Linked DNA regions of Callithrix jacchus. The protein of the gene in region 2 binds, or shares a complex with, the protein of the main gene of each other region. Links are inferred from orthologs where the notes say so. Each region holds a gene or a part of one and is shown on either strand. Other genes may lie near its edges. The genes, in order: XPO1, RANGAP1 and SENP2.

Region 1 (10,733 bases), on a different chromosome or scaffold from region 2:
GGAGGATCACTTGAGCCTACTAATTTAACACCAACCCAGGCAACAATGCCAGATCCCATCTTTAAAAGTATGAATAGGACATTAAACTCAGTGGATTTTTATTTTTATTTATTTATTTTTTTTTTTTGAGACAGTCTCCTTCTATCACCCAGGCTGGAGTGCAGTGGCCCGATCTCTGCTCACTGCAACCTCTGCCTCTTGGGTTCAAGCAATTCTCCTGTCTCAGCCTCCTGATAGCTGGGATTATAGGCACCTACCACCACATCCAGTTGATTTTTGTATTTTTAATATAGACAGGTTTTCATCATCTTGGTCAGGATGGTCTCAAACTCCTGATCTGAGGGGATTCACCCCTCTCAGCCTCCTAAAGGGTTGCTGGGATTACAAGTGTGAGCCACCATGCCAGAATTTTTTTTTAATGCCAATATTGGTGATGGGGTGAGAGTATACTATCTGATTTTACTTAATCCTCCCACTCCCACATTAATTACAAATACAGTTCTCAAAATCTATTTGCATGCTGCAAAAGAGATAACAGTTTGTTTTATATGTGCAATTTTTTTTAATAGGAATAAAAAAATACGTTGTTGGCCTCATTATCAAGACATCATCTGACCCAACTTGTGTAGAGGTAAGTTTATTTTGGAGATTATTAGGAGAGCATAAAATCATTTAGATATTGAGTCATCTTTGACTACGTACAACCTGATTTGTCAAGACACATAGTCCCACATAAGCGCAATCAGTCGTTTGCAGTAGAGCTGTAATTGTTTGTTTCTTAGGAGGATTGTCTATGCTTATATTCTTATTATACTTACCTCAGGCTCTCATTTAATCTTTTATCTTTCCTTAGAAAGAAAAGGTGTATATCGGAAAATTAAATATGATTCTTGTTCAGGTAAGCTTTGCCTTCTAAGAAAAAATATGCTTATTTGAATAAAATGTTTGACCTACTTAGGAAATAAAGTATATTAATATTTTACAGAAGCAATGATAGTGTTCAACAATAATAGGTATCCTACTGTCTAGTAAATTAATTTACTAGTGAAATACTAGTAAATTTACTAGTAATTTACTGGTAAATTAAATTACTAGTGAATGTTAATTTGCTGTGGTAGGAAACATCAAATATTGTTAAACATATCATCTATATGGCTGCAATATGCTTTGGAGTGTATGTTGGATTTTTTTTTTTTTTTTTTTTTTTTTTTTGACAGAGTCTCACTCTGTTGCCCAGGCTGGAGTGCGGTGGCACCATTTCAGCTCACTGCAATCTCCGCCTCCTGGGTTCATGCAATTCTCCTGCCTCTGCCTCCTGAGTAGCTGGAATTACAGGTGTCTGCTACCACATCTGGCTAATTTTTTGTAGTTTTAGTAGATACAGGGTTTTTACCATGTTGGCCAGGCTGGTCTCAAACTGTTGACCTCAGGTAACCACCCAGCTTGGCCTCCCAAAGTTCTGGGATTACTGGCATGAGCCACTGCTCCCAGCCAGATTGTTTTTTAATTTTCTAATATGCCTATGCATGTTCCCTTTGCATGTTATCTCTCTCAATCCTTTGATTTTTTTTTCGACCTTCTAATTGATTTCCATGCTTAGTCGTTACACTATGTTGACCAAATTGATAATTTTTATATGTATCTGTTTCCTGTACTGTCATAAATTTTTTTCCAGAGAACCCTTGTATATGAGGGGGAAAAAACACATTTTCTGTTGAAATAAGGTTTAGAAACATCCAAGTCTCCAAAAACTTTGGTGTATTCAGTGATAAACTCCAGCTTTTATTATACTTTAGACTTTTCTTTTTTTGGGAGACGGAGTTTCGCTCTTGTTACCCAGGCTGGAGTACAATGGCGCGATCTCGGCTCACCGCAACCTTTGTCTCCTGGATTCAGGCAATTCTCCTGCCTCAGCCTCCTGAGTAGCTGGGATTACAGGCACACGCCACCATGCCCAGCTAATTTTTTGTATTTTTAGTAGAGACGGGGTTTCACCATGTTGACCAGGATGGTCTCGATCTCTTGACTTCATGATCCACCTGCCTCGGCCTCCCAAAGTGCTGGGATTACAGGCGTGAGCCACTGTGCCCAGCCACCCAGTCAATTTTTATCATCTATAGTTAGTTAAATTCTGGAGTCTCCTAGGATGGTTTCTTTTTTTGAAACAGAGTCTCGCTCTGTCTCCCAAGGTGGAATGCAGTGGCGAGGTCTCGTCTCACTGCAACCTCTGCCTTCCAGGTTCAAGCAATTCTCCTGCCTCAGCTTCCAGAGTAGCTGGGGCTACAGGCCTGCGCCACAATGCCCAGCTAAGTTTTGTATTTGTTGTAGAGACAGGGTTTCACCACGTTGGCCAAGCTGTTCTTGAACTCCTGGCGACAAGTGATCCGCCTGCTGTGGCCTCCCAGGAAGTGCTGGGGTTACACGTGTGAGCGACCCCATCCGGCCTCCTAGGATAATTTCTACATATCTATCAGGCAGATACTAATACACAGACCCATTAGACCAATCAGACCTTTCATTAGGATAATTGAGAACGGTTTTGGGGCGATTACGATAAAATACTTTATTGGTGTTTTATTTTCTACCCAGTATGGTGAAGAGGGTGACACATTTGTTTTAATAAAGGAGGAGATAGGCCGGGCGCGGTGGCTCAAGCCTGTAATCCCAGCACTTTGGGAGGCCAAGTCGGGTGGATCACAAGTTCAACAGATCGAGACCATCCTGGTCAACATGGTGAGACACCCGTCTCTACTAAAAATACAAAAAAATTAGCTGGGCATGGTGGCGTGTGCCTGTAATCCCAGCTACTCAGGAGGCTGAGGCAGGAGAATTGCCTGAACCCAGGAGGCGGAGGTTGCAGTGAGCCGAGATCGCGCCATTGCACTCCAGCCTGGGTAACGAGCAAAATTCCGTCTCAAAAAAAATAATAATAATAAAATAAAATAAAGGAGGAGAAAATGAAAAGTGGTTGGTCCTTACTGCTGCTTTTATCCATTAAACAATTTCTTTGAAGGTTGTTTTATTTGCATTTGATAAAGGAAGTGCGATTAACATTTCATGTCTTATTTTAGATACTGAAACAAGAGTGGCCAAAACATTGGCCAACTTTTATTAGCGATATCGTTGGAGCAAGTAGGACCAGCGAAAGTCTCTGTCAAAATAATATGGTGATTCTTAAACTCTTGAGCGAAGAAGTATTTGATTTTTCTAGTGGACAGATAACCCAAGTCAAATCTAAGCATTTAAAAGACAGGCAAGTAATAATTATGTTTTAGAATTTTAAAGTAATTTCTCAAACAATTTCAAGCAATTTGAATGTATATTGTAGGTATTTTAAGGAACCATGATCAGTAATACGTTCAATTGTTTATACTGGTTTTCAACTACAAATTAAGAAATAGTCCTAGATTGGGTCTATAACTACCTCTGGAGGTTGAAAAGTGGATTGTTCTGAGATACACTTCAGGATTTGATTTGTATGATAACTAATTAATAGGTTCTAAGCAAATGATTCGTGTCCAAACATTCAAGTTAGTTATTTTATGAGACAAGTCTCACTCTGTTACCTGGGCTGGAGTTCAGTGGCTCAATGTTTAAATAGAAGATAATTTTGCTGAGAGAGAGCAGATAAATATAGTCACATCTTTAATTACCAGATGGTTGAAATTTTCATCTTTTTTTTTTTTTTCCTTTGAGAGATGGGGTCTTGCTAGGTTGCCCAGGCTGGTCTTGATCTCCTGGGCTCAAGCAATTCTCCTGCCATGGTCTTCTAAAATTCTGGGATTACAGGCATGAGCTACTGTACTGGGTCTTAATCATTTTTATTAGTATTGTACATAACTGTTAATTTATTTCTGTGTCTTCTAAAACTGATATGTATATATATTTTTTTAGCATGTGCAATGAATTCTCACAGATATTTCAACTGTGTCAGTTTGTAATGGTAAGTGTTTTTAATTTCATTTTTAAAAATAACAATAATATGTTAGCAATTATTTACAAGTATGTTTTATTGTAGGAAAATTCTCAAAATGCTCCACTTGTACATGCAACCTTGGAAACGTTGCTCAGATTCCTGAACTGGATTCCACTGGGATATATTTTTGAGACCAAATTAATCAGCACATTAATTTATAAGGTACAGTGAATACAGTTAATTTGTCACTGGATAGCCACATATATTCTTTTCACATATAAAGCTCTCATATCTGCATTCAAAACCATTATTCAACCTTGGTTCTAACATGAGGAAACTGCTCAGAAGAAATGTTTCATATTTACACCTAGTAAATTCTTTGAAGTGAGTCTCAAATCTGATTCTGCCACTTGTACCATGTAATTTTATGAATTCATTTATAACAAATAATGGATTTGATTATATTGCCATATTTTTTTTTTTTTTGAGACGGAATCTCATTGTATCACCTAGGCTGGAGTACAGTGGCGCAATCTTGGCTCACTGAAACCTCTACTCACTAGTTTCCAGCAATTCTCCTGCCTCAGCCTCCCAAGTAGCTGGGATTAGAGGTGACCGCCTGTAATTCTTTGTATTTTTAGTAGAGATGGGGTTTCATCATGTAGGCAAGGCTGGTCTCAAACTCCAGACCACAGGTGATCTGCCTGCCTCAACCTCCCAAAGTGCTGGCATTACAGGCGTGAACCACTGCGTCCAGCCCTGTGTTGCCATCTATTAGTTGAATGTATAAGTTACAGTGAGGTAAGTCAAGTACTATTTGTGAAAAATGAAAAGTTAATCTTTTAACTGAGATTTAAAAATTGATACCATCTTATGTGTTCTTTAAGTTATACAATGGTTTAGCCTGCGAAACATGATGAAACCCCATATCTACAAAAAATATAAAACTTGCCGGACACAGTGGCTCATGCCTATAATTTGAGCACTTTGGGAGGCCTAGGCAGGTAGATCACAAAGTCGGAGATCGAAATCATCCTAGCTAACATGGTGAAACCTCGTTTCTACTAAAATATAAAAAATTAGCCCAGTGTGGTGGCATGCACCTATAGTCCCAGCTACTTGAGAGACTGAAGCAGAAGAATTGTTCAAACCTGGGAGGTCGAGGTTGCAGTGAGCCAGACTCACATCACTGTACTCTAGCCTGGGCAACAGAGCAAGACTCCATCTCACCAAAAAAAGGAAAAAAAAAAAACCACTTAGGTGTGGTGGTGCATGCCTGTAAGTCCCAGCTTCTTGGGAGGCTGTGGCAGGAAAATCTCAAACCCAGGAGGCAGACTGCAGTGAGACAAGATTTTGTCACTGCGCTCCAGCCTGGGTAACAGCAACACCCTGTCTCAGAAAAAAAAAATTCTACAGTGGTTCATCCGGAGATAATCACTGTTAGCAATTAGTTGTATTACATGTTCAGATGTTTTCTAAGACTGATGTAATGAATAAATTAATTGGTACATTGTAACTTAACCCCTTCAACTTTGTAGTTTAGAGTTTGGTAACATGATTTATGGTATTTGAATGATCAGTTTATTGCTCAATTAAGTTATGTAAAAATATTGGTATTGTTGTGCTCGCTTCGGCAGCACACAAACTAAAATTGGAACGATACAGAGAAGATTAGCATGGCCCCTGGGCAAGGATGGCACACATTCGTGAAGTGTTCCATATTTTTTTTATTTAAAAAAATAAATAAAAATACTGGTATTGTCACCAGTCTTACAGAGTACGTTCTTAGACATAAAAGATTATGCAGTTGTCCAAATAGTCACTTTCTTTAAATATTTTAATGTTTCAAGGTGAGATTTAGGTAAGAAAAAAATATTTTAATGTATAATTACCAGGTTATTAGCTATGTTTATTTTTAAGGTTTTAATGCCCACTAAATTCCCAAACCCGGATAATTGTTTATCTTCTCAACAATAGAATATAAAAGCCAGTTTTCCCACTTTCTTATTACTCTTAGATATAATAACCATTTTCCAAAATCCTAAGCAATCACAAGTTTTAGGTTCTGTGTAATTACACAGAAAGTATGACATTCCCAAAAGTCATGTCACAGATTCTAGGAAAGTTGTTAAGGAGTCTTGTTATTTTAGATGTCTAAGAACACATCAAAAGAAAGCAGAATTTGCTCTTAAAGCATTTAATGTGTATTGGGTAGGTAATCAAATTTCCTCTCAGTATATCTGTCAGATACAATATGTGCATTTACTTGGCCTGTTTCTGACATCTACTTCTGTGTTTAATTGTTAAGTAGTTTTTCCTTTTAATTGTGAATTTTAAGTACAGTGTTTGTCAGGCCAATTAATTTTATGGTTCCCTCCCCTCTTTTGAATAGTTCTTGAATGTTCCAATGTTTCGAAATGTCTCTCTAAAGTGCCTCACTGAGATTGCTGGTGTGAGTGTAAGCCAATATGAAGAACAATTTGTAACGCTATTTACTCTGACAATGATGCAACTAAAGCAGGTAATGTAATATTGTCTTGAAAATTGAACAATTTTAGTGCCTTAGAAAATACTGAATTTCAAATGAGCTATTTTAGAACAGCGTGTCATAGCCATAGTTATTTTATATTTATTACATAAAATTTATAGTGAGCTACAAATTTTTATATCTCCAAAAATTTCTTAAAATTCAAGATTGGGGTATGTTGTGGTAATTTTATTTCTGCACAGTTTAGGAGTTTGGTCCTTTGGGAGAGATCTGATCAGACAGTGGGAACTGATCAGAACTGGCATCTGTTCCTAACATTGTGTCTGGAAGAATTCTTTCCAGCCATAGTTTGATTGCTTATTTATCTATTAAATGATCTAGAAGGTTATTCGTAATACCGTGTTCATGGCCAGCATTGACACCTATAATCCCAGAACTTTGGGAGCCCAGGATAGGAGGACCAGTTGATACCAGGAGTTCAAGACCAGCCTGGACACCATAACCAGATCGTCTCTATAAAAGATTTAAAGTAGCCAGCTGTGGTGTTGCACATCTGTAGTTCCAGCTACTCTGGAGGCTGAGGCAATAGGATCTCTTGAGCCCATGAGTTCAAAGTTCAAATGAGCTATGGTCACACTACTGCACTTTAGCCTGGATGACAGGGCAAGTTCCCGTCTCTTGAAAAAAAAAAAAAAGGAAAGCCTGGGCACAGTGGCTTACGCCTGTAATCCCAGCACTTTGGGAGGCCAAGGCAGGCGGATCACAAGGTCAGCAGTTCGAGACCAGCCTAACCAATATGGTGAAACCCTGTCTCTACTAAAAATACAAAAATTGTCTGGGTGTGGTGGCACACACTGTAGTCCCTGCTACTCAGGAGGCTGAGGTGGGAGAATCGCTTGAACCTGGGAGGTGGAGGTTGCGGTGAGCTGAGATCATGCCACTGCACTCCAGCCTGGCAGCAAGATCAAAACTCTGTCTCAAAAAAAAAAAGGAGAAGTAGATTATTGTGTATGTTTGTGATCTGAATGAATGAATTGACTGTTTTTACGTTTTCATTGTCACCGAGAAAGGGATCAGTCCAATACTAGAAAAAACTTAAAGGCTTTGAATGATCGCAGCCCTACTCATTCCAATGTATTTATTTGAGAAGAGTCAAAATCTAGGTTTTAGGAATGGAAGAATAGGTATACCGGCTCTAGGAGTTGTGTTTGTGGTTTAATATTAGCAAAAGACTGTTGGGATCTTAGGGCTTAAAAATAATAGTGTTGGCTGGGTGCAGTAGATCACACCTGAAATCCCAGCACATTGGGAGGCTAAGGTGAGAGGGTTACTTGAGTCGGGAGTTCGAGACCAGTCTGAACAACATAACAAGATACTGTCTCTACAAATATTTTAAAAATTAGCTGGGTATGGTGGCACATGCCTGTGGTCCCAGCTATTTGGGAGGGGCTGAGTTGAGAGGACTGATTGAGAGGCTGCAGTGAGCTGTGATCATACCACTGCACTCCAGGTTGGATGACAGAGTGAGACCCTGTCTCAAAAATAATAATAAAATAAAAGTCTTTTGTCGTTCTATAAAATGCAAACTAATTGTCCCTTTTAAAATTTGCAGATGCTTCCTTTAAATACCAATATTCGACTTGCATACTCAAATGGAAAAGATGATGAACAGAACTTTATTCAAAATCTCAGTTTGTTTCTTTGCACCTTTCTTAAAGAACATGATCAACTTATAGAAAAAAGATTAAATCTCAGGGAAACTCTAATGGAGGTAAGCTTTGTGGAGCCTTTGCTCCTAAAATTCTGCTCTACCTACTGATACTCTCAAAAGTGTGTCTTTTGGATGTGCGTGGTAGCTCACGCCTGTAATCTCAGCATTTTTGGCGGCCCAGGTGGGTGGATCACAAGGTCAGCAGTTAAAGACCAGACTGGCCAACATGGTGAAACTTACTATCTACTAAAAAATAGAAAAATTAGCTGGGCATGGTCGCTTGTGCCTGTAATCCCAGCTACTTGGGAGGCTGAGGTAGGAGAATTGATTGACCCCAGAAGGCGGAGTTGCATTGAGCCAAGATCCTGCTACTACACTTCGGCCTGGGTGACAGAGCAAGACTCTGAAGAGGAAAAATATATATATATATATATATATATATATATATATATATATATGCATACACATGCATTATATGTATACAAATATACACGCACAAAATTGTGGCATTTCAGTATATATACAACGTGCAACTATTAATACCTAGATCCAAAACATTGTCATTATCCAAAGGTGACCCTTTACTCATAAAACAGTCACTTCCTTCTTTGTTCTCTTTCCCAATCATTAGTTTGGGTTCTGTCTCTGTAGATGTATCTATTCTGATTATACCATATGAAAGGAATCATACATGTAACATTTTGTGTCTGGTTTCTTTGATTTGGCATCATGTTTTCAGTGTTCTTCCATGCTGTAACCTATATCAATACCTTACTTTACATCGTGGCTGAAGAACATTTTCATTGTCTGAATATTCTGTTTGTTCTCTCATCTATGATGGTACATTTGGGTTGTTGATAATTCTTGCCCGTTGGCGCCCGAGGCCTTTAAAATGTCCCTTCAGAGAGACATGATAAAAACTTTGAAGTATTTTAGGGCATGTCAGAAGAAGCAGAGTTACTCCTCCAGAGTTTACAGTCTATTTGATTAGTATTGAAATCTGAGGTGTGATGAGTAAAACATGAATTTTTATTTTCCCTTAAATGTTATAAGTGAAAAGCAGTTTTAAGTTGGTAATGTTTAAGAATTATTTTAATAGTTTTGGTGTTCTTTGTAGGCCCTTCATTATATGTTGTTGGTATCTGAAGTAGAAGAAACTGAAATCTTTAAAATTTGTCTTGAATACTGGAATCATTTGGCTGCTGAACTCTATAGAGAGAGTCCATTCTCTACATCTGCCTCTCCGTTGCTATCTGGAAGTCAACATTTTGATGTTCCTCCCAGGAGACAGCTGTATTTGCCCATGTTATTCAAGGTAACAGAGTGGTTGATTGAGTGCTGTTGTTGCTTACCGTGGTTTTGAGGTCTGAATGCAAATACTTCTAATCTGTCTAAATAAGTGAGCTACAAAGAGAGAACCCAACAACTTCTCCATGAGTGTGGGAAAAAAACTAGAACATGAAACGAGTTCAGTCTAGAACCTCGTTGGTTCTCAAGAGTGTGGTCTTTCTGTCAGCATCAGTATCACCTGTGATTTTTATTAGCCAGATTTGATGGTCACCTGCCAATCCACTGAACCAGAGTCTGGGAATGAGACATAGCTCCTGTAATGAAAGTTGTTTTTTTATTTTTTATTTTTATTTTTATTTATATATTTTTTTGAGACGGAGTTTCGCTCTTGTTACCCAGGCTGAGTGCAATGGCGCTATCTCGGCTCACCGCAACCTCCACCTCCTGGGTTCAGGCAGTTCTCCTGCCTCAGCCTCCTGAGTAGCTGGGATTACAGGCACACGCCACCGTGCCCAGCTAATTTTCCGTATCTTTAGTAGAGACGGGGTTTCACCCTGCTGACCAGGATGGTCTCAATCTCTAGACCTCGTGATCCACCTGCCTCTCGGCCTCACAAAGTGCTGGGAGTTGTTTTTTTAAAAAACAAATTCACATTAAAATACACTTAAACAACTGTAAAGCCATTTTTTAAATTAAACTGAAAAAAAATTTTTTTTTGACAAAGGATCATGCTCTGTCGCTCAGGTTGTAGTGCAGTGGCACAGTCATAGCTCACTACGATCTTACACTCCTAGGCTGAAGCAGTTCTTTTGTGTCAGCCTTCCAAGTAACTACAGTTGCAGGCACACACCACCATGCCCAGCTAATTTTAAATTTTTTGGTTTTTCTTTTTTTTTTTAAGACAGGGTTTCACCATGTTGGTCAGGTGGTCTTGAACTCCCGACCTCAGGTGATCCGCCTGCTTTGGCCTCCAGAGTGCTTGGATTACAGGCATGAGCCACCATGCCCGGCCTGGTTTTTCTTTATATACTTTTTCCTGTTGTGCTTTAAGCTCCAGTATTTTTATTGTTTTAGAGGTTGGGTGTCACTGTTGCTCAGGCTGGTCTCAAATTCCTGGCCACAAGCATTTCTTTTTTTTTTTTTTTTTTTTTTTGAGACGGAGTTTCGCTCTTGTTACCCAGGCTGGAGTGCAATGGCGCAATCTCGGCTCACCGCAACCTCCGCCCCCTGGGTTCAGGCAATTCTCCTGCCTCAGCCTCCTGAGTAGCTGGGATTACAGGCACGCGCCACCGTGCCCAGCTAACTTTTTGTAATTTTTAGTAGAGACG
Region 2 (10,733 bases):
ATTTGTTTTTTTTTTTTTTTTTTTGAGACAGAGTCTTACTCTCACCCAGGCTGGAGTGTAGTGGTACAACCTTGGCTCATTGCAACCTCTGCCTCCCCAGGTTCAAGCGCTTCTCCTGCCTCAGCCTCCCCAGTAACTGGAATTACAGATGTATGCCACCACATTTGGCCAATTTTTGTATTTTTAGTAGAGCTGGGGTTTTGCCATGTTGGCCAGGCTGATCTGGAACTCCTGACCTCAAGTGATCTGCCCGCCTCGGCCTCCCAAAGTGCTGGGATTACAGGCGTGAGCCACCAGCCCTCAACATTGAATTCTGTGTTGTTTACGTTCATGTTTCTCTGTCATCCATAACCATGTCACACATCCACCTACAGGGCTGTACAAGTCAGGGATTTTCCTGACACTTCTGTTTTTGTTTTTCCTTTTTTATTTTTACTCAGAAAATGGTTCGGTTCCAGTGCAATTTCTGACACTTCTGAGCCTCATATAAACCTTGGAGGCCTCTTGGCTTGAAGACAGGTACCACCAGCTTCAGCCAGAATAGGTCCCACTTTTCACAAATGAAGCTCAAATTAAGTCTTGTGATGCTCGGGTGGTTCAGATCCATCAGGATGAGGCTTCACTGTAGGCCTCCAGGGGTCTCTCTCCCGCTAACTCTTCTCTTCTTTCTGCCACAGCGCTGCCACTGGAGTGACATGTTCACAGGGAGGCTTCGGTCTGAGATCCCGCCAGCCCTGGTAAGCGAACAGGCTGTGCTTCCCTTCCAGGCACAGGGCCCTCTTTGGCAATTCCCAGGGCTTTTCTCACACCTTATTCTTTCTGGAATCTAAGATAGGAGCCTTTGGGTGATTGGGTGATTGAGCTGCTGAAATGGAAGCCCAGCCAGCCCAGCATGCAGCCTGTATCCTGACAGGAGGGGCAGGTGGGAACACAGGAGCTGGCAGGGGAGGAAGCCCAAGGGCGGGGACTCCAGGGAGGCAGGAGAGCTGAGACCACACACTCCTGGGTCCTCCTGAGCTGTGAGGTTTGGCTCACTGTGGATTTCACCCCAACACGGTTGCCTCAGCTTTCCTGGTACCTCTCCCTGCACCTCACAGTCCTGCTCCTTCATGACTTCTCTGCACATAGCCCACAAGCCTGTCCCAGTCTTTCTCTGGCTTCTCCCTTTCTCCATGCCACTCTCAGCTTTGGTTTGCGCCCATCATGGCTGGCTTCCCATTTCTTCACTCCCGGGCTCAGACCGGCTTGCATCAAGTTCCCAGTCTTCCCGGAGCTGTGTGTGTGTGTGTGTGTGTGTGTGTGTGTGTGTGTGTGTGTGTGTAAGGAAATAGAAAGGGGCCTCACAGAACACAGGAAGGCTTCCCTGGCCAAGGGAAGAAGGCAGGTCTGGCTGTCAGCAGCCTCTCAGTGTGTCCTCCTAGCAGGAGGCTGCACATGGCAGGCCATGGGGGTGCAGGTTTCTGGTCAGTGATGAGTATGCACGCTGATGTTACTAAGCCCCTCAGCCTGGTCGCTCCTGGCCTCCTTTTATTTTATTTATTTATTTTTGAGGCAGAGTCTCACTCTGTGGCCGAGGCTGGAGTGCAGTCTCAGCTCACTACAACCTCAACCTTCCAGGTTCAAGTGATTCTCCTGCCTCAGCCTCCTGAGTAGTTGGGATTATAGGCATTCACTACCACACCTGGCTAATTTTGTATTTTTAGTAGAGATGGGGTTTTGCCAATGTTGGCTAGGCTGGTCTCGAACTCCTGACTTCAAGTGATCCACCTGACTCAGCCTCCCAAAGTGCTGGGATTACAGGCGTGAGCCACTGCACCTGGCCCTTTTGTTTTATTTTTAAAGACAGGGTCTCACTATGCTGGCCAGGATGGTCTTGAGCTCCTGGGCTCAAATGGTCCTCCCAAGCAGCTGGGATTATAGGTGTGCCACTGCGCCTGGTTTGTGAGGCCAGGATTTGGAATGTAGGTTAAGAAAATTCATTTCTGGGTGGGCGAGGTGGCTCACACCTTTAATCCCAGAACTTTAGGAGGCTGAGGCAGGTGGATCACCCGAGGTCAGGAGTTTGCGACCAGCCTGGCCAACATGGTAAAATCCCATCTCTACTAAAAATACAAAAATTAGCTGGGCATGGTGGTGGGCACCTATAGTCCCAGCTACTTGGGAGGCTGAGGCAGGAGAATTGCTTAAACACAGGAGGTGGAGGTTGCAGTGAGCCAGGACCATCCACTGCACTCCAACCTGGGTGCCAGAGTGAGACTCTGTCTCAAGGAAAAAGCAAATTCATTTTAGTGATTGTATGTTAAAGAATTTTAAGTCAGGCCAGGCATGTTGGCCATGCACGCCTGTAATCCTAGCACTTTGGGAGGCCGAGGCAGGCAGATCACCTGAGGTCAGGACTCCAAGACCAGCCTGGCCAACATGGTGAAACTCGGTCTCTACAAAAGTACAAAAATTAGCCGGACATGATGGTGGATGCCTGTAATCCCATCTACTCGGGAGGCTGAGGCAGAAGAATCACTCGAACCTGAGAGGCAGAGGTTGCAGTCAGCTGAGATCATGCCACTGCACTCCAGCCTAGGTGAGAGAAAGACTCTGTCTCAAAAAAAAAAAGGAATTTCAAGTCAGAAAAGATGGTGAAGAAACTATTTTGCATACTCACTGTGGAATTCTCGTTGTGCAGGTTTTGCCTAAATTTTAGCATTTAATTTTCCTGAGCTTTCAGAAGGTGTCTGTTTGGTTTTTGTTTTCTTTTACTTGACCCTACAGGAATGAGGAAGGAAAGTATTCTTACCTCTATGTTCCCAGTGATAAAAACAAATCTTAAGAGGGGGATAAAAGAATTTGGGGTCCGAAGATGGCATGAAGTGGAGTAGGCACAGGGTATTTGAGCAGCTTGCCTCTTCAGGGCTGGAGGTCAGTTGGGGCCAGATGGCCAGGGGCTAGGCCTTCTGTGGGCCAGGCAACCAGCGGACACGCTGCCTTTTGCTTGCTGAGTGGTGGGAGGACAGTAGAAACTGCCTCAGCTGCCATGCCTGTGGCCAGGGCAAGGGCAGAGAGCCTCCTTTCCTCATTCCTGCCTCCATGGACCACCTGCCCAGCCCCCTTTCTGCCCCAAGTCTCTGGCAGGGCCTCCTCTCCTCTGACCATTTCTCCTGGGGGGTGAGGGAGTGTAGCTCTCCCCAGCCCACGAGGTTTCCAGGAGAGCTCCGAATCCGCCTGCCAAAGCTGGTCCCTGGCCATGGCTTGGAGATGGCCACCTCCATCTGCCAGTCACCATCAGAAACCCTGGAGGCTCTTTCCTTGCCTAACGCAGCCATGGCTCATGGTCCCAAGAAGCATCTGAAGCGGGTGGCAGCTCCAAAGCACTGGATGCTGGATAAATTGACCGGTGTGTTTGCTCCTCGTCCATCCACCAGTCCTCACAAGTTGTGAGAGTGTCTCCCCCTCATCATTTTCCTAAGGAACAGACTTAAGTATGCCCTGACAGGAGATGAAGTAAAGAAGATTTGCATGCAGCAGTTCATTAAAATTGATGGCAAAGTCCGAACTGATATAACCTACCCTGCTGATTTCATGGATGTCATCAGCATTGACAAGACAGGAGAGAATTTCCATCTGATCTATGACACCAAGGGTCGCTTTGCTGTACATCGTATTACACCTGAGGAGGCCAAGTACAAATTGTGCTAAGTACGAAAAATCTTTGTGGGCACAAAAGGAATCCCTCATCTGGTGACTCATGATGTTCGCACCATCCGCTATCCTGATCCCCGCATCAAGGTGAATGATACCATTCAGATTGATTTGGAGACTGGCAAGATTACTGATTTCATCGAGTTTGACACTGGTAACCTGTGTATGGTGACTGGGGGTGCTAACCTGGGAAGAATTGGTGTGATTACGAACAGAGAGAGGCACTCTGGATCTTTCGATGTGGTTCATGTGAAAGATGCCAATGGCAACAGCTTTGCCACTGGACTTTCCAATATTTTTGTTATTGGCAAGGGCAACAAACCATGGATTTCTCTTCCCCGAGGAAAGGGTATCCGCCTCACCATTGCTGAAGAGAGAGACAAAAGACTGGCAGCCAAACAGAGCAGTGGGTGTAATGGTCCCTGGGTGATATGTTAGATGTTTATGCATAATTAAAAATCATATGGCATGATTAATAGCAAAAGAAAAAAAAAAGAAATCCTGGAGGCATTTGTGGTTCCTCCCTCCCTCTTCCTGCAATCTAGAGAACCACCAGCTTCTGCATGTCCCCTGCTCCATGAACAGGCAGCTCCTCTCCTCTCCTGCACTTGTCACACTGGCCAGCAGGTCCCCTCTCTGTTGCCAGTGTCACTGCCTCACACTCCTGGGTGGGCACTCCAGCCCCCCACCTGTCCATGTGCTCTCCTCAGGTCCGGGGATGTTTCTTCCACATCCCTCAGCCACTTCAAAACCTAGTGCTCTCAGGCTGAGGTTCATAGTCCTTGGCCTGGCATTCAAGACTATTGCCTGATCTGACCCTTCACTTCCCTTCCATCCAAAGCCCACGCCATGGCCTCTTCTAGAGCCCTTCCACAGCTGCCCCCAGGTTCACAGCCTGCTGCTTCATTCTTATGTCTCTGCTCCTGTTTTTTCAGCTGCCTGGAATCTTTTCATGTTTACTAGCTGATTCTCTCCAGACTAAGCTCAAATGCCGCTTCTTAGAAGTTTTCCCAGGCCACCCCATGCATACACACGCCCCACTCTCCATCTGTTAGGAGGCCTTTGCAGGGTTTCTAGTCTTGAGAATACCGAAATGATTCGTGTCTATGCCAGTTCTCTATTAGCCGGGGTGTCCTCGGAAGGCAGAGCTGGGCCTGGCATGGAAGCAGCACATGCTGGGTATCTATGAAACTGACACGTGGCCGGGCACGGTGGCTCAAGCCTGTAATCCCAGCACTTTGGGAGGCCGAGGCGGGTGGATCACAAGGTCAAGAGATTGAGACCATCCTGGTCAACAAGGTGAAACCCCGTCTCTACTAAAAATACAAAAATTAGCTGGGCATGGTGGTGCGTGCCTGTAGTCCCAGCTACTCAGGAGGCTGAGGCAGGAGAATTGCTTGAACCCAAAAGGCGGAGGTTGTGGTGAGCCAAGATCGTGCCATTGTACTCCAGTCTGGGTAACAACAGCGAAACTCTGTCTTAAAAAAAAAAAGAGAAACTGACACGAGCTTCCTCTGTGCCCAGATCTCACTAGGGGAAGGACTCATCACAGCTGGGGCCCAGCTGGTGGAACTGGACTTAAGTGACAACGCATTCGGGCCCGACGGTGTGCAAGGCTTCGAAGCCCTGCTCAAGAGCTCAGCCTGTTTCACCCTGCGTGAACTCAAGCTCAACAACTGTGGCATGGGCATTGGTGGCGGCAAGGTGGGTATGGCGGCCCCCTCCCAGTAGAGTCCCCTGCTCCATCCACATCCATCTGACCTATGTGCCCTGGCCCTTGGCCACCACCATCTGGGATGGTCAGCTGTTGTTTTCAAAAGAGAAAGGCCTCAAGCCGCAGCCTACAGCCAGAGGGTAGAGGCCTCCGTGAGAGTGGGTTGCCAAGCAACCATCCCAACTTCTTGGGTTGGCTTGGCAATGCAGAGGGAGTGCTGCCGTATACCTGCTGGCTCTGCAAAACTCATGTCTTGGAGCATCCCTACACTCACTGTACCCTCAGAGCAGCTGGCAGAGCCTGGCACACAGGTTGAGGAAGAAGCCTGAAAAGAGTGTCCGCTCATGAAGGAACAGTCACAGCTCACCTTTATTCTTGGACAGGGCCTTGCCTGGGGACTGTCCCTAGGCAAGGTCAGTGTAGAGCTTCAAGTTGGGCTGGTCAGTGTAGGGTGGAGCTTCTTTCTTCCCAGAACCTGCATAGAGAGTGGTCTGCCCTGTTCTCTTCAGCTGCATCCTGGTGTCTTTAGACCCAGGGTTGGAGAACACTGAGTGCCAGGCTGCAACCCCTACACACACTTTCTGACCAAAGGGAGGATAGGGCTGGGGACACGGAACTAACAGCAGTTGGGGACATCTTATTTGAATATGAAGTACCTTAACTTTCCCATCCCCACTGAAAGTGGGGTGGTGCCATCCCCATTTTTCCACATGACTCAGCATAGGCTTAGAGAGGTGGGGTGGGGTGGATCACATAGCTGGTGCTGTGAGGCGCATGGAGCCCCAGGCTGGGGAGCTGGAGTGGCCTACCCTGCAGAGGGTGCCTGTGGCCCTCTTCCTGATGTGTAGGTAAGTAGGGGCAGGCTCTGTGCCTGCCTTAGCCAGCCCTCCCCAAAGTCCACTTGGGCAATAAGCTGTCCCTGTGTTAAGATATAAAAATGGGCCAAGGCAGTGGCTCACGCCTGTAATCCCAGCACTTTGGGAGGCCAAGGCAGGTGGATCACCTGAGGTCAGGAGTTTAAGACCAGCCTGGCCAACATGGTAAAATCCCATCTCTACTAAAAATAAAAAATTAGCTGGGCATGGTGGTGGGCACCTATAGTCCCAGTTACTCAGGAGGCTTAGGCAGGAGAATTGCTTGAACCTGCAAGGCAGAGGTTGTGGTGAGCCAAGATGGCACCACTGCACTCCAGCCTGGGCAACAAGAGCTAAACTCCGTCTCAAAAAGAAAAAAAAAATCTAAAAATGTTTGCATCAGCACAGAAAGCAGGTGCAGCCCAACCTGGAATGAGTAGGATATGCTGGGAGAGCTGGAGACTCCAGCCAAGTGCTTTGGTTTTCCTTCCATTACTTCCCCTCTCCCACCCAGCAGTGCCTGGAAACTGAGGCTCAGGGGACTTTCCTACTGGCCAGGGCTTGTCTAGCCTGTCCTATACTTGCAGTGGGATGAGTTGGGGAATGAGTTTTGAACCCCAGGGCCAGAGGGCCTCACAGTCAGGCAGACTCTAACCCTAGAGTTTGACAGATGGTTTTCTGAGCCTCCCTGACCACTGATTTGATTAGGTTCTGTGTCCTGGCCTTGCTGATCTGCGCCTCTTGGGAGCTCAGACACGATGCTCTGAGTGTCTAACCAAGGCCTGTAGGTCCTTTGGTCCTTTGGAATCTTTTTCTCTTGGGTAGTATATGTTTAGTGCGGTCTCTGCACCATGCACCATGAGAATAGGAGGGCCCAGAGGAGTTGACAGGGCAAGAGGTGTGGCCCTGTGCTTGGGAACTATCCAGACCCAAGTTGGACTCCTGCAGGAGCTAAGGCCCTCCCCATGTGGCCTCCAAGGAATCGGGGAGAATGGGGGTGACCTAGCAGTCAGCTGCTGCCGCCGAGTAGCTTCCTGAGAGGCTGGTCTATGGCAGAAGTTTGATATCTCTACCTTGAGTGTGTGCATGATCCAGCATAGCCACCGTGAAGTCAGGCAGATGCTGGCCCTTCTGTTTCTCAGGGACAGCTGTGTGCAGTCTCATGCCAGGAGTTAGGCCAACATACCCACCATGTGCAGCTTTGCTGAGTATTTGCCAGGTGACTGGCCGATTCACTCACCTCTCAGAGCCTCAGCTTCCTCATCTGTAAAGTATGACCAGTCCCACCTGTCTCCCAGGCTGGTGTTGAGGTTGAAGTGAGAAAGTATGCAAATACCTTACTGAGGGTGCCCAGGCCCTAGCAGGTGCTCTGCAAACATCAGGTGTTCTGCAAACATCACTTCTCTCCTGGTACACTCGCTCGTGATTCTTTTATGTCTCATTGACCATGGGCTCTGATTCCCATTAGTCAGTCTCTGTTTTTCAGTGCTTTGCCTGAATGTGTGGGATGTGGAAGAGCAGTTCAGCAGCAGTGGCTGCCCTGCTAGGGCTCCTGCCCATGGCCTGGGCCCCTTGCCTTTTCCCACAGATCCTGGCTGCAGCTCTGACCGAGTGTCACCAGAAATCCAGTGCCCAAGGCAAGCCTCTGGCCCTGAAGGTTTTTGTAGCTGGCAGAAACCGTCTGGAGAACGATGGCGCCACTGCTTTGGCAGAAGCTTTTAGGGTGAGTGGTTTCTGTCCATCCTGCCCCCGCAGCCCTGAGGTGCACTCGGCACAGTAAGCTGTTAGTCCTGGATGTGGATCCCATGGCAGGCACTCAGCCGAGAGACCTGAGGCGTCATATGCCCTCTTCAAGCCTGTTAGCCCATTCGAAAATGGGCCAGGATTCCTGTCATGCATTTCTGGAAAGATGTGTGGTTGCTCCCAAAGGTGAGCCAGCAGCAGCCCCTTGTGAGGCTTCAGGCCACTCTGACCAGGGAGTGTCATCTGCCAGGCCCAGAATTGGTGGAGCAAGATGCCAGGCGCGGTGGCTGACGCCTGCAATCCCAATACCTCAGGAGGCCAAGGCGGGTGGATCACAAGGTCAAGAGATCAAGACCATCCTGGCCAACATGGTGAAACCCCTACTAAAAATACAAAAATTAGCCAGGCATGATGGTGGGCGCCTGTAGTCCTAGCTACTCGGAAGGCAGAGGCAGGAAAATTGCTTGAACCCAGGAGGTGGAGGTTGCAGTGAGCCAAGATTGCGCCACTGCATTCCAGCCTGGGTGACAGAGCAAGACTCTGTCTCAAAACAAAAATACAAAAATTAGCTGGGCATGGTGGCACGTAATCTCTGCTACTCAGGTGGCTGAGGCAGGAGAATGGCTCGAATCGGAGTCAGAGGTTGTGGTGAGCCGAGATCTCGCCACTGCATTCCAGCCTGGCGACAGAGTAAAACTGTCTCGGGGAAAAAAAAAAAGTGGTGGAGCAAGGTGACATGAGTGATGAGTGCTCCCAGCCCCTGGTGTGGGGCACAGAGAAAGAACTTACTAGACTTCCTAAGACAGGGAGACAGGCAGGGGCAGCCACAGGGCTTAGGTGCCAGATGAAGTGCTCTTGGGTTACCTTGTCCCTGCTCCTCTTCCATTCTCCTCGTCTCCCCCCTCCTCCTCTCCCCAGCTCCCTAGGACATTGTTGAGTCTCCAACCATGAGTGCCAGAAGAAGGTCACACTTGCCCATGACAGAACTGAAAACTTTGGGGTCTGTCTCCCTCTTCTCTTTTTTGTTTTTCTGGGACAGAGTCTCACTGTGTCACCCCTGCTGGAGTGTAGTGGCACAATCTTGGCTCACTGCAACATCTGCCTCCCAGGTTCAAGCAATTCTCCTGCTTCAGCCTCCCAAGTAGCTGTAATTATAGAATTACAGGCGCCCATCACCACACCTGGCTAATTTTTGGTTGTGTTTTTTTTTTTTTTTAGATGGAGTGTGGCTCTGTCGCCAGGCTAGTCTGCAGTGGCATGATTTCAGCTCACTGCAACCTCTGCTTCCCGAGTTCAAGAGATTCTCCTGCCTCAGCCTCCCAAGTTGCTGGGACTATAGGCGTGTGCTACCATGCCTGGCTAGGTTTTTGTATTTTGGTATAGTTGGGGTTTCACTGTGTTGGCCAGGATAGTCTTGATCTCCTGACCTCATTATCCACCTGCCTCAGCCTCCCGAAGTGCTGGGATTACAGGCATGAGACATTGCATCTGGCCTAATTTTTGTATTTTTGTTAGAGACAGGGTTTTACCACATTGGACAGGTGGTCTCGAACTCCTGACTTCAAGTGGTCTTCTGCTTGGGCTTCCCAAAGTGCTGGGATTATAGGTGTGAGCCACTGTGCCCAGCCACTCTTCTCTGAATTTAAATGTTTTTTTTCAACAAACAGTATCCTAGGAGCATTGCTCATACTGGGCTGAATGGGCACCCTCTCCTGCCTGCCCACAGAGTTTGTCTGTAGACACTCCTTGCCTACTTCAGTGCCAAGTGGATAGCACAGAGATCTGCCTCGTATCTCCCTGCACCCCTGGCTGCAGGGGAGCTCCTGCTGCCTCCTCAAGAGCTGGAGGGGCCTTGTTGCCATCCTTGGATCCCTCCCTGCCCTCAGCTTGCTGTCCTCTGTGCACTGGGAATGGGGGCGATGCTGTGGTTGTGCTGAGCCTTCATAAGGTGTCCTCTGGTGGGCTTAAAATGGGTTGTTTTTTCTTAGACGGAGTCTTGCTCTGTCACCCAGGCTGGAGAGCAGTAGCACAATCTCGGCTCACTGCAACCTCTGCTTCCCTGGCTCAAGTGATTCTCCTGCCTCAGCCTTCCAAGTAGCTGGGACTACAGGCACCCACCACCATGTCCAGCTAACTTTTTGTATGTTTTTTTTTTTTTTTTGAGACAGAGTTTCACTCTTCTTGCCCAGGCTGGAGTGCATGGTGCGATTTCGGCTCACCATAACCTCTACCTCCCTGGTTCAGGCGATTCTCCTGCCTCAGCCTCCTGAGTAGCTGGGATTACAGGCATGTGCCAGCATGCCCGGATAATTTTGTATTTTTAGTAGTAGATACAGGGTTTCTCCATGTTGGTCAAACTGGTCTTGAACTCCCGACCTCAAGCGATCCACCTGCCTCAGCCTCCCAAAGTGTTGGGGTTACAGGCGTGAGCCACTGTGCCCGGCCAATTTTTTGCATTTTTGGTAGAGACGGGGTTCCATCATGTTAGCCAGGATGGTCTCAATCAGCCCTCAATCTCCTGACCTTGTGATCTGCCCACCGTGGCCTCCCAAAATGCTGGGATTACAGGCATGAGCCACTGCACCCAGCCAGAATGGGGGTTCTTAATCTCCTCCAGTCTGTGGATAGAATTCAGGGGTCTGTGAACATGGATGAGAAAAAAATAGCATCATTATTTATCCCTAGTGTAGCTAAAATGTATAGTGTGGCTTTTGATTATGAATGTAGAC
Region 3 (10,733 bases), on a different chromosome or scaffold from region 2:
AATAAAAATAATATTTTATACTAAAACAATATTGAATTACTGTTAATAACTTTTCTTCACAAGATTCATCTGTCCTTACTAAAGTTAGAAGAAGGAACTTCATTGCTTCTAGTGAGCAGAAAAGGAAAAATGGACCCATCTTACTGATGCATTTTCTCACTTCATGTAACTACTTTACATAGCTAAGAAGTAGCTAAGCTTTAAAGACAGGTTTCTATTATAGCAATTACTATTTAAAACAATCACCTACAAACCACACACTTCAAACACTGCCTCTGAGTTCTGAGATAAACCCAACTCTCATGGAAAGCATAAAGACATGAGTGGGCTTAAGAATTTAGAGGACTAGGCTGGGCGCGGTGGCTCAAGCCTGTAATCCCAGCACTTTGGGAGGCCGAGGCGGGTGGATCACAGGGTCAAGAGATCGAGACCATCCTGGTCAACATGGTGAAACCTGTCTCTACTAAAAAATATACAAAAAATTAGCTGGGCATGGTGGTGCGTGCCTGTAATCCCAGCTACTCAGGAGGCTAAGGCAGGAGAATTGCCTGAACCCAGGAGGCGGGGGTTGCAGTGAGCTGAGATCGCGCCATTGCACTCCAGCCTGGGTAACAACAGCGAAACTCCGTCTCCAAAAAAAAAAGAAAAAGAATTTAGAGGACTAACACTCCCCAACTAACAGTTCCTTAGAACATTCAGAATAATGTATCAATACCAAAGAAATCTAATTCAAATCAGAGAATTCCAGTAAGATCTATTTTACCTCATAACACATGACAAACTTGTTTTCAGTGATGGTACTAAACACATTTTCTCAGTTGAAATCAGCTATTATTTTTAGACAAAAAAATAAAATGCATGCTAAGCCCTGAAATAGCCTTAACTATATATTAGACCACCATCCAAACAGCTTCCTAGGATGAGATGGAAGAGAGATCACCTCAACGGGGGTAGTGAGGCGACAGCGAAGGTTTCAACATTTACTTACAGGAGAATCTCGCAGATCCTGTGGCCCTTTTGTCCCATGGAATCCAGATATTTAAGACACTTTTTTCTTAGGTCTATCACCTATGATGGAAAAAGACAACATCCAGAAATATCTTAAATGTAAGAGGAGAATTTTACTTCCAAAAATAAAAGTATCTTTTAGAAAATCAATACATGTACCAATATAAATGGAGTTCTAAGTTACACTTAAAAAGTAACCTAGAACTCCATTTATATTGGTACATGTATTACATTTCTTAAAGACTTATCTTACATAACTTTAGTAAAAAGTATATTTTTTAGTTGAAACATTAGTGGTCCTCTCAGTGATGAGACTTTTTGTTGTTTGTTTTTATCTGTATCTTTCTTTCTTTCCTTCTCTTTTCTTTTCTTTCTTTCTCGTTCTTTTTTCTTTTTCTTTTAAGACAAGATCTCGCTCTGTCACCCAGGCTGGAGTACAGTGGTGTGATCACGGCTCACTGCAGCCTCGACCTCCTGGGTTCAAGGGATCTTCCACTTCAGCCTCCCAAGTAGCTGGGACACAGGTATGCACCACCATGCCCGGCAATTTATTTAATTTTTATATAGACAGGATCTTGCCATGTTGCCCAGCCTGGTCTCAAACTCTTAGGCTCAAGCAACCCTTCCTGCCTCGACCTCCCAAAGTCTGGGATTGTAGGCATGAGCCACCACACCTGGCTTTATATCTGCAATTTTTTTTTTTTTACAATAAACCTGTACTATCTTATAAACAAAACTAAATAAATATAATAACCCTTACGTATACTAAGACTCTCCTGTTAAAAACGAAAGGTCCTCAAGTACAAGGACTTGATCTTCTTGCCTTCTAAGTTGTTAACTCAAGAACTAAAAAGGAGGCCAGGTACGGTAGCTCACCCATCATTCTGAGGCTGAGGTGGGGGGACTGCTTAAAGCCAGGAGCTCAAGACTAGAGACTCTGTCTCCACAAAAAAATAAAAAATAAATTCTAAAAAATTAACTAGGCATACTTGTGCATGTCTGTAGTCCCAGGTACCTGGAGGCCAAAGTAAGATCATTTGTTCCCAGGAGGCTGAGGTTACAGTGAGCTATGGTTGTGCCACTGCACTCCAGCTTGGATGGCAGAATGAGACTCTGTCTCTAAAAATAAAAAAATAAAAAGGCTATGCATGGTGGCTCACGCCTGTAATCCCAGCACTATGGAAAGCTGAGGCAAGAGAACCACTTGAGGCCAGGAGTTCGATACCAACCAGAGCAATATACAAGACTCCATCTTGCCAAATAAATAAATAAATAAATAAAATTACCCAAGCATGGTGGACCATGCCTATAGTCCTAGTTACTCAGGAGGCTAAGGCAGGAGGACCACTTGAGTCCAGGAGTTCCAGGCTACAGTGAGCTATGATCACACCAATTCACTTCAACCTGGGCAACAGAGCAAGGCCTGGTCTCTCATTTTAAAAAATAGTATTAAACATTTTTTAAAGAATAAATAAAAGAGCCAAAAAGGGTTGGGTGAAGGAGGGGGCATTAAGAAAAAAAAAAAAACAAAAACTAAAAAGAGACTCTGTAGAGTATGCTTATAACATATACTACTGGTCTTTATACCCTGGGCAGAAAAGGGGAGCATTCTTTTTGAAAAATGGTCTTTATCCAAAGTCCAACAATTAACTATTAACCTTCTCTACTCACCACCAGGCTCCAATGTACCTTCCGATGAATAGGCACCAGAATAATTTCTTGTTCAAAGAGATTTACCCCTTTGGTCCATCTTTTCACTGCTTGGTAACCCCCAGACTTTAATTTAGGGTAGAAGAAAGTACTGAATACATGAAGTGCTGGATAGCCTTGCTTTTTATTTCTTTCCACCAGAAGATTCAGGTAAAAATTAATGACCTACAAAATATCAAGGGAGTGAAAGCTGGAACATGACAAATATATTATCAAAACTAAATTTTTACCTGAATAAGGACAAATTTGAAGGTAAGGTTCTAAAGAAGGAGATAGGGCTGGGCGCGGTGGCTCATGCCTGTAATCCCAGCACTTTGGGAGGCTGAAGCAGGTAGATATCCTGAGGTCAGGAGTTCAAGACCAGCCTGGCCAACATGGTGAAACCCCATCTCTACTAAAAATACAACAATTAGCAGGGTATGGTGGCAGGTGCCACGGTCTCAAAAAAAAAGGGGGGGGGGAGATAAAAGGACTGTCTAAAGAAAATGACAGCAAAAAAAGTCATCAGTGCAAAATGGGACACATGAAAAAAGAATGAAACTGTACTTTTTTTTGAGACAGAGTCTCGCTCTGTTGCCCAGGCTGTCAGCTCACTGCAACCTCCGACTCCCAGATTCAAGAGATTCTCCTGCCTCAGCCTCCTGAGTAGCTGAGACTACAGGTACACACCACCATGCCCGGCTAATTTTTGTATTTTTAGTAGAGATGGGGTTTCACTATATTGGCCAGGCTGGTCTCAAACTCCTGACCTTGTGATCCACCTGTTGGCCTCCCAAAGTGCTGGGATTACAGGTGTGAACCACTGCACCTGGCTGAAACCATACTTTTAAGGCATGTGAGTAACACTTAATAGCCAGAAGAAGGAATTCAAGAAGAAAGTCTGTGTAATAATGAAAAGATCTACATAACTGTATCACACCAAAAAAATGCAGAAATAGGAACAGTAAGTGAATTTTACTGCATATAAATTAGACTTCAGTTTAAAAATATTAACTGGAAGGACATACACCAAAATATTAACATTTTATTTATCTTTGAATGGTGGTACTTTTGAACAGTCATTTTTTTAGTTTTCCTGTATTTTCCAAATTTTCTACAATAAACAAATTATATTTATCATGTAAAACAAAACATTCCTGTTTTCAATGAATCTGTTTGTAAGTAACTAGTCATAGGGGAAACAGGAAAACAGGAAGGGAGATGAAGAGAGAAGATGCAGGGCCTGCAGTTAGGGAAAAAACCCACCGGAAAATTGTCAGGAAGAACTTAAGAGCCAGCTTTTGCTAAATATATTAAGGATACAAGAGACAAGTCAGGCAAAATTTTTCAGTTAATACTCAAAGAAAAGGCCGGGCACGGTGGCTCAAGCCTGTAATCCCAGCACTTTGGGACACTGAAGCGGGTGGATCACAAGGTCAAGAGATCGAGACCATCCTGGTCAACATAGTGAAACCCCGTCTCTACTAAAAAAATATACAGAAAATTAGCTGGGCATGGTGGTGCGTGCCTGTAATCCCAGCTACTCGGGAGGCTGAGGCAGGAGAATTGCCTGAACCCAGGAGGCGGAGGTTGCAGTGAGCCGAGATCGCACCATTGCACTCCAGCCTGGGTAACAAGCGCGAAACTCCGTCTCAAAAAAAAAAAAAAAACATGGTGAAACCCCATCTCTACTAAAATATACAAAAAAATTAGCTGAGCATGGTGGCACGTGCCTGTAATCCCAGCTACTCAGGAGGCTGAGGCAGGAGAATTGCCTGAACCCAGGAGGCGGAGGTTGCGGTGAGCTGAGATCACGCCATTGCGCTCCAGCCTGGGTAACAAGAGCGAAACTCCATCTCAAAAAAAAAAAAAAAAAAAAAAAAAAAAAAAAAAATACTCAAAGTATGCTGGGCGTGGTGGCTCATGCCTGCAATCCCAGCACTTTGGGAGGCCAAGGTGGGTGGATTACCTGAGGTCAGGAGTTTGAGACCAACCTGGCCAACATAGTGAAACCCCATCTCTACTAAAAATACAAAACTTAGCTGGGCATGGAGGTGGGTGCCTGTGATCCCAGCTACTTAGGAGGCTGAGGTAGGGGGATCACTTGAACCCAGAACTGGAGTTGCCGTGAGCTGAAATCGCACCATTGAACTCTAGCCTGGTCGACAAGAGCAAAACTCCATCTTAAAAGAAAAAAGAAAAATACATATAGTATATAATAATCAACATATCCCTTTATTACTCAAAAAATAAAACAGCTACTATAAGAATTCATCTAAAATATAATACCACTTGCTGCTTCCTCCTATTCATCAGCTGTGCCCAGGGTTTATTGGAGACTAGTAAATGAAGAGGTGGATACAACAAAGTACAGATGCACAAAAGGGAAACATCACCAATTCCAGGCAGAAAATCAGATTTCACTATCTTTTTAAGATTTAAGATATCTTTTTTGGCTGGGCGCAGTGGCTCACGCCTGTAATCCCAACACTTTGGGAGGCTGAGATGGGCGGATCACCTGAGATCAGGGGTTCGAGACCAGCCTGGCCAGCGTGGTGAAACCTCGTCTCTACTAAAAATACAAAAATTAGCCGGGCATGATGGAGCATGCCTATAATCCCAGCTACTCAGGAGGCTGAGGCAGAATTGCTTGAACCCAGGAGGTAGAGGTTGCAATGAGCCGAGATCGTGCCATTGCACTCCAGCCTGGGCAAAAGAGCAAGACTCTATTGCCAAAAAAAAAAGATGTCTTTGTTTTAATTATAACTAAAAGTTGCTTTACCAATCTCTATAACTGGGTAGGAATCAATGTGATTATAGATAATAAATAGTTAAACTTCATGATGGCCAAAAGGGGGAGGGAATACGACTTACTTCATCATTGAGCCAGTGATAATTCTTTAATGTCTGGATGTCTCCTCGAGTAATTCGCAATTTGAAAGCACTACTTAGGATTTCATCCTGTGGGCCATGGCCTAAGGCATTACTGATTTCCTTTTCCATGTCCTGAATTAGAAAGTCCAAAGGTTACTATTTTAATATAGAAACATTATCAGCTATTGAAAAATCTGAGCTGAAAAAAAATTTTTCATTTCGGCAGCACCTGACTCTTGAGAAAAATATACTATCAGAGACCTACTAAACTACAGTATGAAAACAATTTATCCTTATTTTTTAGTAATAGAGATGGGGCCTGATTAATTGCCCAAGTTGGCTACAAACTCCTAGGCTCAAGCAAAACCCGCCCTGGCCTCCCAAAGTGCTGGGATTCTAGGCATGAGCCACTGCACCAGCCCTGAAAATATTTTAACTTATAACTACAAAGCAGTCTTCCTAATATTTACAAAAAATGCTGGTTCAATTAGTAGCTTGTGGAAACAATAATAATAATTATATACATCTAAAGTATGGTCTCAATTATCCTACTATCAGGTATCAAGCACTATAAGCCGAACATGATGTTAGATACTTGAAGCACATTCTTACTTGTTGGGAAGGTATCCTACCATTTTATAGAAGAGAAAATTGAAGCTCAGAGAATTTATTTTACATATTAAAAGTCATATAATTATTAAAAGGTAGAATGAAGATTTGACCCCGGTGTGTCTGATTTACTGTCTTTTGCTCCTTTCATAATACTAAAACCCTGATTTCCACTCTAAGCTTTTTTTTGTTTGTTTTTGATACAGAGTCTCACTCTGTCACCCAGGCTGGAAATCTCAGCTCACTACAACCTGCCTCCCAGATGCAAGCGATTTTCATGCCTCAGCCTCCTGATTAGCTGGGATTAGACATGTTGCCACCATGCCGGCCATTTTTTTGTATTTTCAGTAAAGTCAGGGTTTCACCATGTTGGCCAGGCTAGTCTCAAACTCCTGACCTCAAGTGATCTGCCTGCATTGGCCTCCCAAAGTGCTGGGACTACAGGCACGAGCCACCACACCCAGCCTCTCTTTTAAATGTTTAAAACATCAAAATAAGATTAGGACATCTAAGGGGTCATACCATCCTTTTTGACAGAAAGAGAATAAGCAAACAGGCAGAAACTTGGAAACCAGGCAGCAGTCTAGCAATTGACTCTTTATGGAATAAATGGATTCATCATACTAAGGAATAATGTGGGCCAGGCACGGTGGCTTACACCTGTAATCCCAGCAATTTGGGAGGCTGAGGCAGGCAGATCACGAGGTCAAGAGTTTGAGACCAGCTTGGCCAATATGATGAAACCTGTCTCTACTGAAAAATACAAAAATTAGCCAGGTATGATGGCATGTGCCTGTAGTCCCAGCTACTCGGGAGGCTAAGGCAGGAGAATTGCTGGAACCCAGGAGGCAAAGGTTGCAGTGAGCCGAGATTGTGCCATTGCGCTCCAGCCTCAGCAACGACAGGGTGAAACTCTGTCTCAAAAAAAAAGAATTATGCAGATAAATGCATTATTTAAGACACAAAACTAGATCTATAAATCCACTACAAATTATTTCCCTCTAGGCCAGGCATGGTGCCTCATGCCTGTAATCCTGGCACTTTGGGAGGCCGAGGCAGGTGGATCACCTGAGGTCAGGAGTTTGAGACCTGCCTGACCAACATAGTGAAACCCCATCTCTACTAAAAATAAAAAATTAGCTGGGCATGGTGGTGGGCGCTTGTAGTCCCAGATACTCAGAGGCTGAGGCAGGAGACTTGCTTGAACCCAGGAGGCAGAGGTTGCAGTGAGCCAGGATCGTGCCATTGCACTCCAGCATGGGCAACAACAGCGAAACTCTGTCTCAAAAAAAAAAAAAAAAAAAAAAAATTATTTTCCTCTAAATATTTTTACCACTGCTTCCTCCCACTGCACAGTTTCACTGTTTTATGGATCTCTCTCTCCACCTGCATGCCCAATATAATAGTAAGTATTCAAGAGAGATTCACCTACTAGATTCCTACTGTAGAGGAAGCCAAGATGTGGGTGCATCTTTAAAATAAGAATTTTAACTACCTTCATTCTTTATGTTCTGTAAATTTTTACAATTTTCAGATGCAATAATCAACAAAAGGGACATCTTAGTAAACTATAATCACTTTTTAAAAAATGCAGTGGACTTATTCCTAATTCCAAACCTATGCTATATAACTCACTCAACATATTTGAAGGTTAGAATCTACAAAGAATTTGTTGAATTCCAAGATATGTGATGACTGTGTCGACTCACATTTGCTGAATATCAGTTTGATCCCTTAGGTCACTAACGATCATGCCTCACTAATGATCAGTGTAGCCAAAGTGCATAAATAGATCATGGGCCTGATTTGTTTTCATATATTCATCCTTAGCCTGGAGAAAGTCCTCAAAACAAAACATTCAAGTTTAGAAGTACTGAGGTTATTTAAAGACATGCCTCTTTTTAGGATCAATACAAAGAACAATACCTCTGTAAGTTCAAGGAGATCATCTGTTCTTCTGTCCCTCTCTTTGCCTGAGCAATTCTTTTCCTTTGTCTCAATTATTGACACTTTCCTCCTGAGTAAGCCATTGCTTCCACTGCCCAGGCGGAGTCGGGCTGACACTTCTTCTGATAGGTCAGGCTCCAGCTGGTATCCCCTCCTCTGATCAAAAAAGCATCTACATTCTACTGACATGTTTGATACTTGCTAATATAAACATAGATAACACATGAAATATAAAACTGTCAGTAATATGAAAGAAAAGAGAATTAGCAAATCCCCCAAATGAGTAGATTTATCATATCTGCCTGTCCCTGCAAGGGGAAACAAAAAAACTCCAGACCTAAGATTCACAGGATACCTCAGTTACAAACCATGAAACAGAACACTCGCCACATTCCCTGGAAGGAGCAAAAAAAGTATTTTCAGTTCTCCTATCACAATTAAAAATAGTATGTTTAAAAGATTATTATGAAAGTTTTAAATAGCAAAAAATATGACCCACAATCCCACCACTCAGAACAAATACCTATCTTTATGCTAACTAAACTTGGTTCTAGCTTATCCTTGTAAAAAGTCATTTTATATTATAGAAAATGCACAAAACATTAATGTACCACTTAATTCATTTTTGTAAAATGAACACCTATATAACCACCATTGTGGTTATATAAACAAATAGAATTCTGCCAGCACCCTAAAGCATTATCAGAGATGTATGATTTTTAAGAAATTCTCCATAAAAAGCCATAAAATGTAGGTAAAGTGTTGGTATGGAGATAGGTTCATCTTTCATAAACAAAGGTGGCTACTGTACAGAGGCAAAACTCCAACAACTCAGAAAGAAGAAAAAGGTTGTATATTTTCAATACTTGCCTTTTTTTTTTTAAAGAGACAGAGTCTCGTTCTGTCACTCAAGCTGGAGTGCAGTGGTGTGATCACAGCTCACTGCAGCCTTGACCTCCTGGGCTCAAGCAATCCTCCTGTCTTAGCTTCCCAGGTAGCTGAGACTACAGATGTGTCACCATGCCTGGCTAATTTTTAAATTTTTTGTGGAGACAGTCTCACTATGTTGCCCAGGCTGGTCTCAAACTCCTGGGCTCAAGATCCTCCTGCCTTGGCCTCCCAAAGTTCTGGGATTACAGGCATGAGCCACTGTGCCTGGCTGGCTTGCTGCTTTCTTAAAGAAAACAACAGAAGTAACAATCTAAGTAATATATATATAATTTTTCTTCTTTTTCATTGGTACCAAAACATAAGTTATGTAAGTAAATGGGTATCAAAATTTTTTTTTTTCTTGAGACGGAGTTTCACTCTTGTTGCCCAGGCTGGAGTGCAATGGCAGATTCTCGGCTCACTGCAACCTCCACCTCCTGGGTTCAAGCGATTCTCCTGCCTCAGCCTCCCGAGTAGCTGGAATTACAGGCATGTGCCACAGGCATGCCTGGATAATTTTTTTATTTTTAGTAGAGACAGGGTTTCTACATGTTGGTCAGGCTGGTCTCAAACTCCCGACCTCAGATAATGTCCCGCTTTGGACTCCCAAAGTGTTGGGATTACAGGAGTGAGCCATGCACCTGGCCTATGGATATTAGATTTAACTAGGATTTTTACTTACACTTTCATTTTCAAATCTGAGTCCAACCATCTTTTCTGTATCAGAAATTTTCCCCTTTGTACACCTAAGGAAAATAATTGAGAGATGATAGATTTCTGCTAGATGACTCAAACCTAGCACATCCTAGTTTTAGAAATAAGATTTCATAATCTGCAAATAAAAATTGCCTTTTTATATAATATTCTAAATCAAGAGCCAACAAACTTTTCTGAAAAAGCACAGACAGTATTTTAGGCTTTGCAGGTTTTATGGTCTTGGGCATATCGTGGCAACTCTACCACTGTAATTTAAAAGCAGCCATAGACAGTATGTAAATGAATGTGCACACTTCAACAGAAACGTACTATACAAAAATAGGCAAGCAGACCAGATTTGGCCTATAGGCCATAATTTACAAACTCTGCCATAAACCATCATCCAAAAATCCTAAGGTATGCTGAACTGCCTTTATTGTTCTTATCCTAAAGACACAGACCTCTAGATATCTCCACTAGACCCACACTCCTATCTAAGAATCATGCGATTCTCCCAACCCTGATGCCTGGGAGATAAAGGGCACCCCCCAACCCACCAAGGTAGCGTGGACATCTGACCCAAGAGCTAGCTACCTATCTACTCATATATGCTGACCAACTACCAGAAATGAAAAGAGTTCACAATTCCAAAGAACCACTTACTCACAAATACAGCTGATAAAGAAAATATATATTAAAGTGTAGAATGAACTGAATGTACCTCTTTTCACTTCTCAATGAACACAGAGGTCCCCTTGTTTCAACAAGTCTATCTGTGAGGATGGTAAAGAAAAGATTAAATATTTCCTTCATTAGTGAATAATATAGTTAGAATTTCAGCTTACTGAGTTTCCACAATATCAAGGCAATTCTTCAACAATGAAATGCTACAGTGAATTCCAAAGATACTAGACTCCCTATAAACTAAGTTGCCTAAAAAAATGCCTATATCTCTTTGCTCTTTTTTTTTTTTTTGGAGA

Evidence for each region.
Region 1: the proteins of RANGAP1 (region 2) and XPO1 are in contact, whole or in part, in a cryo-EM structure (PDB 9B62), measured with the Homo sapiens proteins. The link is inferred for Callithrix jacchus from reciprocal best matches to the Homo sapiens genes RANGAP1 and XPO1. Residues at the interface, in NP_001265580.1 of Homo sapiens: Ala2, Asp5, Ile6, Leu9, Ala10, Thr12, Leu13, Ala14, Thr16, Gln17, Val18, Ala19, Gln22, Leu23, Ser24, Phe25, Lys28, Glu44, Arg55, Ala561, Thr564, Lys565, Pro566, Ser568, Glu571, Ser572, Ser574, Phe575, Arg577, His578; in NP_003391.1 of Homo sapiens: Lys245, Ser248, Thr249, Tyr252, Lys253, Glu281, Gln282, Val284, Thr285, Leu289, Met292, Gln293, Gln296, Arg340, Asn342, Leu343, Lys514, Val518, Ile521, Lys522, Leu525, Glu529, Arg532, Lys534, Lys537, Ala538, Ala541, Met545, Phe554, His558.
Region 3: the proteins of RANGAP1 (region 2) and SENP2 are in contact, whole or in part, in a crystal structure (PDB 2IO3), measured with the Homo sapiens proteins. The link is inferred for Callithrix jacchus from reciprocal best matches to the Homo sapiens genes RANGAP1 and SENP2. Residues at the interface, in NP_001265580.1 of Homo sapiens: Glu467, Asn508, Thr511, Thr514, Arg515, Val518, His519, Leu523, Lys524, Ser525, Glu526, Asp527, Val529; in NP_067640.2 of Homo sapiens: Tyr408, His409, Trp410, Val477, His478, Asp495, Met497, Gly498, Gln499, Lys500, Pro536, His537, Gln541, Gln542, Asn544, Gly545.

The regions. Positions count from the first base shown.
Region 1 is NC_133515.1:52,621,664-52,632,396, forward strand, and holds part of XPO1 (exportin-1), read left to right. Parts: intron 1-569; coding exon 570-631; intron 632-853; coding exon 854-898; intron 899-3,071; coding exon 3,072-3,253; intron 3,254-3,894; coding exon 3,895-3,943; intron 3,944-4,018; coding exon 4,019-4,138; intron 4,139-5,537; exon of another isoform or gene 5,538-5,642; intron 5,643-6,308; coding exon 6,309-6,437; intron 6,438-8,016; coding exon 8,017-8,175; intron 8,176-9,232; coding exon 9,233-9,430; intron 9,431-10,733. UniProt on the Homo sapiens protein: Mediates the nuclear export of cellular proteins (cargos) bearing a leucine-rich nuclear export signal (NES) and of RNAs.
Region 2 is NC_133502.1:192,067,591-192,078,323, reverse strand, and holds part of RANGAP1 (ran GTPase-activating protein 1), read left to right. Parts: intron 1-677; coding exon 678-737; intron 738-2,946; exon of another isoform or gene 2,947-4,192; intron 4,193-5,217; coding exon 5,218-5,397; intron 5,398-7,849; coding exon 7,850-7,984; intron 7,985-10,733. UniProt on the Homo sapiens protein: GTPase activator for RAN. Converts cytoplasmic GTP-bound RAN to GDP-bound RAN, which is essential for RAN-mediated nuclear import and export. Mediates dissociation of cargo from nuclear export complexes containing XPO1, RAN and RANBP2 after nuclear export.
Region 3 is NC_133516.1:14,564,715-14,575,447, reverse strand, and holds part of SENP2 (sentrin-specific protease 2), read right to left. Parts: intron 10,527-10,733; coding exon 10,475-10,526; intron 9,804-10,474; coding exon 9,740-9,803; intron 8,329-9,739; coding exon 8,107-8,328; intron 5,704-8,106; coding exon 5,572-5,703; intron 2,884-5,571; coding exon 2,680-2,883; intron 1,069-2,679; coding exon 989-1,068; intron 1-988. UniProt on the Homo sapiens protein: Protease that catalyzes two essential functions in the SUMO pathway.